2 linked regions of the Nothobranchius furzeri genome follow. Each later gene encodes a partner of the first gene's protein in a complex. Links are inferred from orthologs where the notes say so. Each region holds a gene or a part of one and is shown in the gene's direction. Other genes may lie near its edges.

Region 1 (3,957 bases):
CATAATATGCATGCTTTATTATCCAACAATGTAATTGCAACACGTGAAGTTATTATTTATTTTTTGTGCATCTGGTGTTAACAATATTTATTTTCACTGTTTCCCTGCAAGCCCACTATTAAGTGTCACCAAACACGCAGGTAAAGGTAGAAAAGCACATAAGCCAGCCGTGAAATAGGTGTGGGAAAAGGGTGCATGCTACGATGATTTAGTGTTAATACATGAGTAGTCTGACCTGCTAGACTCGTCCTAATACACGAGGCCCCTGGCAAATTCCTGCGGCTACTGAGTCTGTTTCACGTAAATTTATTAACATCTACCTTCTCATTTTGGTCCAAGCAGCTGAGATCAGCAGTCAGACCGTGCTCCTCAGCCTCCTCGGCTATCCCCTCAGCTATAGCCTGAGCTTGGCCCTTCTGGGACCCAAACAGCACCACAAATCGATGCTTCACCTCACAAGGCATGCTGGGGGGAAACAGATAAACAGATAAATATTTAGGCAATTCTAAAACGCCACAGGTAAAATAGTGAGACTAACTAATCAATTATCAGCTGCATTTTAACAAACATCTCAGCTTACCAACATACTTGGACAAATAAAAGGCAGGCTGCCACAGAAACACGTTTAACACACCGCTACGCCACCATTACCGTCAGTACCAGGATGTTGCGTCAAACTTTGACTAGTTACCAAAACAGCGCACGTGGACGTTTTTCACTCAAGAACACTTTATGAACATAACATTTCATATTTGGTCCGTAAACTAATTCGGAATTCCGAGAAACTCGACTCACTTTCTTTAGAGAATCGTGTTTTCTGGCATTAGTCCGTAATAAATACACAGGAAATACAAGCAGTTTAAAGTTAATAAAGTATTTCTACCTTTTTAAATTGTATGAAAATTCACCTCGTCAACTCCTTGCCAACATACCGGTAATTAGTCTTGTTACTGAATTCACGCGAGATCTGAGCTCAAACTGAGATTGCGCGTGATCGGAACAAACCAAGTTACGACAAAGACGTTCCCCTTGTTTAAAATTTGTTGTCAGTTGCAATGATATTAATTTGTATGATTGTGACTAATTTATGATATAGTTGTTCAAGCCTTTTGTCGTTTATAAAAAAGGTGACAGGAATGGAAGAAAACACGCTGAACTGAATTTGGTTCCGCCCTCCCCACCCGTGGAGCCTTCCAGAAGTCCCCGGCAGATCCGTGCGGCTTGCAGTTCAGCCACACTCCAGGATCACATCATTAAACGCGTTATTCTGTCAGATAAACGCCGATTGTGTGTTCTAAACTCCAAATCAGCATGTCCACTTTGGGCACATTAGCCTTTGATGAATATGGAAGGCCCTTCATCATCATTAAAGACCAAGACAAGAAGACACGCTTATCGGGCATTGATGCACTGAAGGTACAATGAGCTAGCTAGCATACATGTAGCGTGATGGCCTAACAAGCAAACCTGCTATTAGATATTTAATTTGGTTACAACACGAATTTATACATACGGCTTTGTGTTGCATGAGTGAATTTGTCCAACACATTCTGATGTTTGTGCAAAATAAGCTGAATTAGATTAGGAAATGAAATGAATTCGTTAGCTATGCTAAGAAGAGGCCCATGTGCTCCCTGTGCGTTCATCTAGTAGGAGGTGCTACATAGGGCTGTACCCTGCATGGTCATGTACATCACCCATACAGCCGACACGCTGTTTACATGCCTTTTGAGGGTGACTTTTAGAGGTAAAATGTGTTTTGATATGCACTTGTTTTGTTTTACAGTCTCACATAATGGCAGCCAAGGCAGTGGCATCAACGCTTAAGACATCTTTGGGTCCAAACGGTACGATCCAGTGCAGTGATGTCATTTCACTTGAATAACTGCTGAGATGTCGAGAGTCTGTGTGACCATTAGATTATTAATTTAATCTAGTTACAAACACAGCAGGTTTACCATGTCATGTCACCGTTTAGGTCTTGACAAGATGATGGTTGACAAGGATGGAGAAGTAACTGTCACTAATGATGGCGCCACCATTCTCAGCATGATGGATGTGGACCACCAGATTGCCAAGCTGATGGTGGAACTGTCCAAATCCCAAGATGATGAGATTGGTGATGGAACCACTGGAGTTGTTGGTGTGTAAACGTGTGCAGAAGGAACATTGTGTGAATGCTTTTTGTAGATGAACATGTGATATATGTTCTGTGTTAATTAATTTTATATAGAATTCTTGGTTAGTATTGATATTTTTATTTTAGTTAAATAGTTTTAATTCGGTAAAGTGCATAAAATTAGGTTTTGGCAGGTAAATTATGAGTTCCTAAAAGTGATTTGTGTGCTGCTACTATTGGGGCATTTTAGCATGCAAATGAATCAGAAAATGTCTAGATATCGGCCAAAAAGTGACAACTCGTATCGGCAATGACTCATACTTGTTGGTATTGGGGAAAGAAAACCCCATAACGGTCTACCTCCACTACCTACTGCTCTTCTAATGCATTTCTGACTCTGTTTACCTATTTTCCTGCATCCTCAGTGCTGGCTGGATCGCTGCTTGAGCAGGCCGAGCAGCTGCTGGACCGAGGAATCCACCCCATCAGGATCTCCGATGGTTACGACCAAGCTGCACGCATAGCCATAGAGCAGCTGGACAAAATAGCAGAAACTTTCCCCTTCGATCCCAACAACACCGAACCACTCATTCAGACTGCCATGACAACGCTGGGGTCAAAAGTGTAAATTAAATTATTATTTTAGTAGTTGTTGATGCCATTTTCCTGTGCCCCTGTGACCTGGCTGCTTTTTAAGTGAGTTATTGAGATTTGACAAATCACCTTTTAATCCTATTGTTGTTATCTAGCATCAACCGGTGCCACAGACAGATGGCGGAAATTGCAGTGAATGCCATCCTCACTGTGGCCGACATGGAAAGGAAGGATGTAGACTTTGAGCTCATCAAGGTGGAGGGCAAGGTGGGAGGAAAGCTGGAGGACACACAGCTCATTAAGGGAGTCATAGTGGATAAGGAGTTCAGCCACCCTCAGATGCCCAAGGTATGATTTAAAATATAAATGTTTGTTGTAAATATTGCTGCATTTTTGTGATGCTTTAACGTGCCTGAGCTAACAAATTCTCTTTTCAATTAGCTTCTCAAAGATGTTAAAATCGCTATTCTAACCTGCCCGTTTGAGCCTCCTAAACCCAAGACCAAACACAAGTTGGATGTGACCTCCGTTGAGGACTACAAAGCCCTCCAGAATTATGAAAAAGAGAAGTTTGAGGAGATGATCCAGCAGGTTAGTAATTCTCACAAATCCCGATGCTACAAAAATGACTTTTTGTGGTTCATGCAAATCAAGGAAGAATAAAAACACCTTAATTCTAGGTCAAAAGCACTGGTGCTAACTTGGCCATCTGCCAGTGGGGCTTTGATGATGAGGCCAACCATCTTCTGCTGCAAAGCGAGCTGCCTGCTGTGCGCTGGGTTGGAGGGCCTGAGATTGAGGTGAGGTAGAAGTCTTGCATGTGAAAGGTCAGAATGAGCTACCCTTGCTACGAGCTCACCCTTTGGTGTTTTGTTAGTTGATTGCTATAGCTACCGGAGGCCGTATTGTGCCGAGGTTCTGCGAGCTGACACCAGAGAAGCTCGGAACCGCTGGCTTGGTGAAGGAGATCTCCTTTGGCACAACCAAGGATCACATGCTCGTCATCCAGGAGTGCAAAAACACCAGGGCTGTAACCATTTTCATCCGAGGCGGCAACAAAATGGTACGCTCTCACAAGGCTGTATCGTTTTTGTCCTTTTTCATCACATTCATGTCTAATGGTCAAAACCTTTTCATTAGATCATTGAGGAAGCCAAGCGTGCTCTCCACGATGCTCTGTGTGTAATCCGCAATTTGGTGAAAGATAACCGTATTGTGTATGGGGGCGGAGCTTCAGAGATAGC
Region 2 (4,127 bases), on another chromosome or scaffold:
TGTGCTAATCTTTTTAGGTGAGCTGCTCTTTTCCCTTCTTAAGACCATTTTAATTTTACAACAAATGCATTGGATAAGAACTGCAGATAAGTACAAATTCCTCTTAACTTCCCTTCATGCAGATGTGTTAATTTTCTTTCTATTCAGGTGACAAAACAGATTGTCCATTTAGGTTTTGTCCTTCACACCTAGAAACATCCTACTGCAAGGCCTAGTCAGCAGAAAAGATAAAAAAAAAGAAAAACAGGCTGAGGCCATTTACAGCCTGATTGTGGTCTGGTCTTTCAGAAAAATGTCAAGTCATGTAATGCAACTTCAAACAAGTCTCACTAAAATCCTACATGGTGCTCACCAATTGCATAATTTCAGATTTAAGAGTTATATTTTAGTTCTCATACAATAGAATCCAGTGATCCAGTAGTTATGTGATATTTTGTGGCAATTGTTTTATATACTTCTTATAGCCAGTTGGGGTCCATAATATGGACGTTATTTAGAAACATCCAGTTTTGTAGAGAAATATTTTTCAAGTTCTGAAGTGATTTAAAGTAGTAAAGAAGTGATTCAAAATAAATAGCTTTAGAATTATAGAGAGTTGCAAAACACAGAGGAGGTGCTGTCATGGTTTGGGGCTACATGAATATTGTAAAGTTGCAAAAGAAATTTTTTAACCGCAAACTCGTCGTCAGATGTGTTGCCCTGCCCCGTGTCGAATCCACATATTGGCCTTGTTCGAGTTGAGCCAGGTCTGCGCAGATTAGATCACCGATGTTCGCCGCAACACCCGGTTAGATTTGAGTCCGACTTGATGCCGATTTGCTCTGACGTCATGCATACGTAGGCAACGATATCCTCGTGAGATCAAGGCGGCCGAGAGAAGGGTCTTTTTCAAGTTGAGCAGCGCCTCGCCTAGAAAGCACACGAGAGCAAACGCACGCAGCTGGGGGAGTGGCTGAAAGTCGGCGTTTATGCAATTCATTCATTAATGTGTTATTTGTGTTAATGTGTTATTTTCTCGCGTTTCCTACGAGCACACTAAAACTACAGCTGATAACCTTTACTTATTATTATAGTCATATCTTCATATACAATATATTATATCCACAAGCATGTGAGGATGTGTTTCGGTTGCTAAGAGGCACCAAAATTCAAACTACAAATTAAACAAGTATGAACTCTAACACGATATCTTAATCGACCAAATCTCGCGAGAATTCACCTTGCAACGCAAAAAGATGAAAAACGCAAGGTTATCTTAACTTTACCGTATTTTCTTTTTAATTTGAAATAACAAATGATATTAGCACTGGAATGGGCAATTCACAATTTTTGCAATAACGAAAGCACATTCTGGTGAAATAGCTCTTAATGCTGAAGAAGTTAAATTACCCCAACCCTTTAACTGTCCTAATTATTCATATAAAAGATATATACGGTTTACTAAAGTGTACACCCGCACAAATGAGTGTTTATGTTGTAGAATAGTTAAATCTGAGATGGTGCTGAAAAAAAAACACAATTGATGTGAACGAGCACGCATGACGTCCTCGTTCACGTACGACCTTGTTTTTGTTGATGCTAATTTGCGTGCGGCTGCGCACTGCCGGGTGCATTTGCCGTTATCGTTAGCCGCGATTTAGCTTAAGAAAAAAAGAGTGTTTACGTCCTTTAGTGAATTTGTCGGAATTTATTTTTTACAACCCAACTTTTGTATAATTTATCTGGGAATATAGCAAGCTAACTTCACTGCCTTCAGCTGACCAACCTTATCCGAATGTGATCGCCCTTCCTTGTCGGACACTGCCATCGAGGGCCAAGGAACAAACTACCAAATCGCCATTATATGATCCAGTGTCCAGCGTTACTTTTACCCTCCATGTGGGTGAGGGAGCTGTGTGTGTCAGATTATGGCGAGAAAAACAGTTAGCAGGAAAAGGAAGGCAGGAGAGCCAAAGGACCAACAACAGGTAGGCGGAAACCGGTTGTATTAGCATTCCAACTAACACGGTGCTAGCCCGAGTTAGCACCTACAGGCTATCATAATATCTGATTTATATGTAAATAATTGTCCGGTGTTTTAAAACGACCAAACGATGGTCCAAACGCCAGCTAATTCAGCTAATAAACGAATGGCTACATTTGAAAGCAATAACCATTTAATGTTAGCATGACGTTAGCCAACGGCAACGCGTTATCTAACGACAGCTAAGAGCTACCCGCTGGGTGCGCTATGTCATTATTCATTGTAACTATATTTTAATAACATCGTTGCATGCGGGTGAATGAAACTAGCAGCCATTTGCCTGACTGGAGGCAACGTTATCACCGTTTCAATGAGAACGACGTCAAACAAATGTCTAACCTGCAGAGTTAGCCAAAATATATCACCCTGGTTTGCCAGTTACATTTAGGCCTGATCAAAATTACAATCTGAATATTTTACAGCAATGCCCCTATCTATCTGTCTGTCTGTCTGGGGGAAGGTCTGTGGTGAGGGATCACACTTTTTCACATGTTTTAGGTATGTCCCTACTCGAACTCGTCCAATTCAAATGATTCAACTCTGTTTTCGTATGAATGCCACCTTGATGCGCCAAACTGATTTTCAGGCTAATTGTTGCCTAAAAGAAATCTTAAAAATTCAGGAAATTATAAAATCATAACCTTTCAACACTCAGATCTGTTCAAATGTTCTTCACGAGCCTGAAACAGTTAAGGGGAAAATAGATTCCTTTTAAATTTGTTTTATTTTACTGTAAATCAAAATTAAATGATTTTTATAGTTTGTGAGTTTATTGGTTAAAACAAAAATGTCCTCCCATATTTAATATTTGTGTACTTGCTATAAAGAAGAAAAAACGGTTTAGCATATTGTATCAAACTATAGAATGAAAATTTGAATAATGCACCTGATTATTGTAAAAGTGAGCTGTTCTACCAACTGTTTTTGTTATTGTATTTTTAGGGATGTGGAAATTAAATTTTTTTTATATTATAACCTAAAGCAAGTCCTGTGTATTATCTTATTTCATGATTTAAAAATATACTTAATAAGCATTAACCTTGGCAGTGTGCATGTGTGTGCTTTTATTGCACCTCTTATAATCTGGAAAAACTCTTTAGTCTGTGTCAGTGAGCAATGTTTTCTTGGTTCTGTTGGGCTAAGGTACAGAGTAGCACAGACTGAAACAGCAACACTGATAAAGCACATATGCTGTTTTACATTCTTCAGCAATCTGTTTCTCTTTAAATACTTGAACCGTTTTCCTGTCCTATTTCCACAGCTGGGCTGGAGTCAGGCACCACACAAGCGGAGCCGTGTTTCTTGTTCATCTCGGCACGCCCAGCAGTGGTTGTGCAGTCAGAGCTCTGTCGTGTGTGCCCTCCGCGGGCGTGAGTTCAGACCTCAGCAGCAGCATGAGTTGCGGTTCCAACGGAGCCTGCGTGGCTTTGCAGCAGGCAGGCTACCTGGGATCCTCAAAGAGAAGGAATTTTCACTGGGAAGACTCAACAAGGTGTTTGCGTCGCAGTGGCTCAGCCACCGGCAGGTGGTATGTGGGACTAAGTGTAACACGGTGAGATGCCTTTAAACTGTCACTGAGACCTTTTCATACATTTGTAACATCTGATGTAATCATCTGCTAAATGAGTAAGTCTGTCTGGATTTGAATAATTTTCTGAAAGTGCTAGACCCAGTTATTAGAATATTTCAACCGGCTTATGAAAAGTTATCACCTTAAATACATTTGAAAGCTTATATTATTCAGTATATGGCATTTTTGATTGATTCTGATTAACCACGTTTTGCAAAGTATTAGATTAAGCATTTTAAGACTATGATTCAAGATGTTTTAAGATATTTTTCTGACAAAAAAATAGAAGACATAAAGAATTCTTTCCCTCAAGTTTTGTATTAAGTCATTTATTATTTAAAAAGAAGCTTAAAATCAATTTGATGCCCTTGTTTTATGGTGGAGCTTATTTCCTTTGATGCAAGTTCAAAATAACAATTGTGTAATACTTTTTAACGACTGCTCATTGTTTATTTTAGCACTCTTGTCATTATTTTGTTTATTGGAATAGAATAGACTTTATTAATCCCACATTGGGGAACTTCACTTGTTACA

What was found. The genes of interacting proteins can lie anywhere in the genome.
Region 2: the proteins of cct5 (region 1) and dcaf12 are in contact, whole or in part, in a cryo-EM structure (PDB 8AJM), measured with the Homo sapiens proteins. The link is inferred for Nothobranchius furzeri from reciprocal best matches to the Homo sapiens genes CCT5 and DCAF12. Residues at the interface, in NP_036205.1 of Homo sapiens: Gly537, Glu538, Ser539, Glu540, Glu541; in NP_056212.1 of Homo sapiens: Lys91, Phe93, Lys108, His144, Trp186, Phe188, Arg203, Lys254, Arg256, Glu298, Val300, Arg344, Phe411, Tyr422, Leu440, Pro441, Ser442, Gly443.

Annotation. Positions count from the first base shown.
Region 1 is NC_091747.1:54,098,038-54,101,994, reverse strand, and holds the start of cct5 (T-complex protein 1 subunit epsilon), read left to right. Parts: upstream 1-1,157; 5' UTR 1,158-1,311; coding exon 1,312-1,416; intron 1,417-1,786; coding exon 1,787-1,847; intron 1,848-1,978; coding exon 1,979-2,143; intron 2,144-2,544; coding exon 2,545-2,743; intron 2,744-2,868; coding exon 2,869-3,061; intron 3,062-3,154; coding exon 3,155-3,304; intron 3,305-3,393; coding exon 3,394-3,513; intron 3,514-3,590; coding exon 3,591-3,776; intron 3,777-3,853; coding exon 3,854-3,957. Other genes in the region: mtrr (methionine synthase reductase), read right to left, coding at 321-464. UniProt on the Homo sapiens protein: Component of the chaperonin-containing T-complex (TRiC), a molecular chaperone complex that assists the folding of actin, tubulin and other proteins upon ATP hydrolysis.
Region 2 is NC_091743.1:55,581,422-55,585,548, reverse strand, and holds the start of dcaf12 (DDB1- and CUL4-associated factor 12), read left to right. Parts: upstream 1-1,327; 5' UTR 1,328-1,907; coding exon 1,908-1,967; intron 1,968-3,284; coding exon 3,285-3,575; intron 3,576-4,127. UniProt on the Homo sapiens protein: Substrate-recognition component of a DCX (DDB1-CUL4-X-box) E3 ubiquitin-protein ligase complex of the DesCEND (destruction via C-end degrons) pathway, which recognizes a C-degron located at the extreme C terminus of target proteins, leading to their ubiquitination and degradation.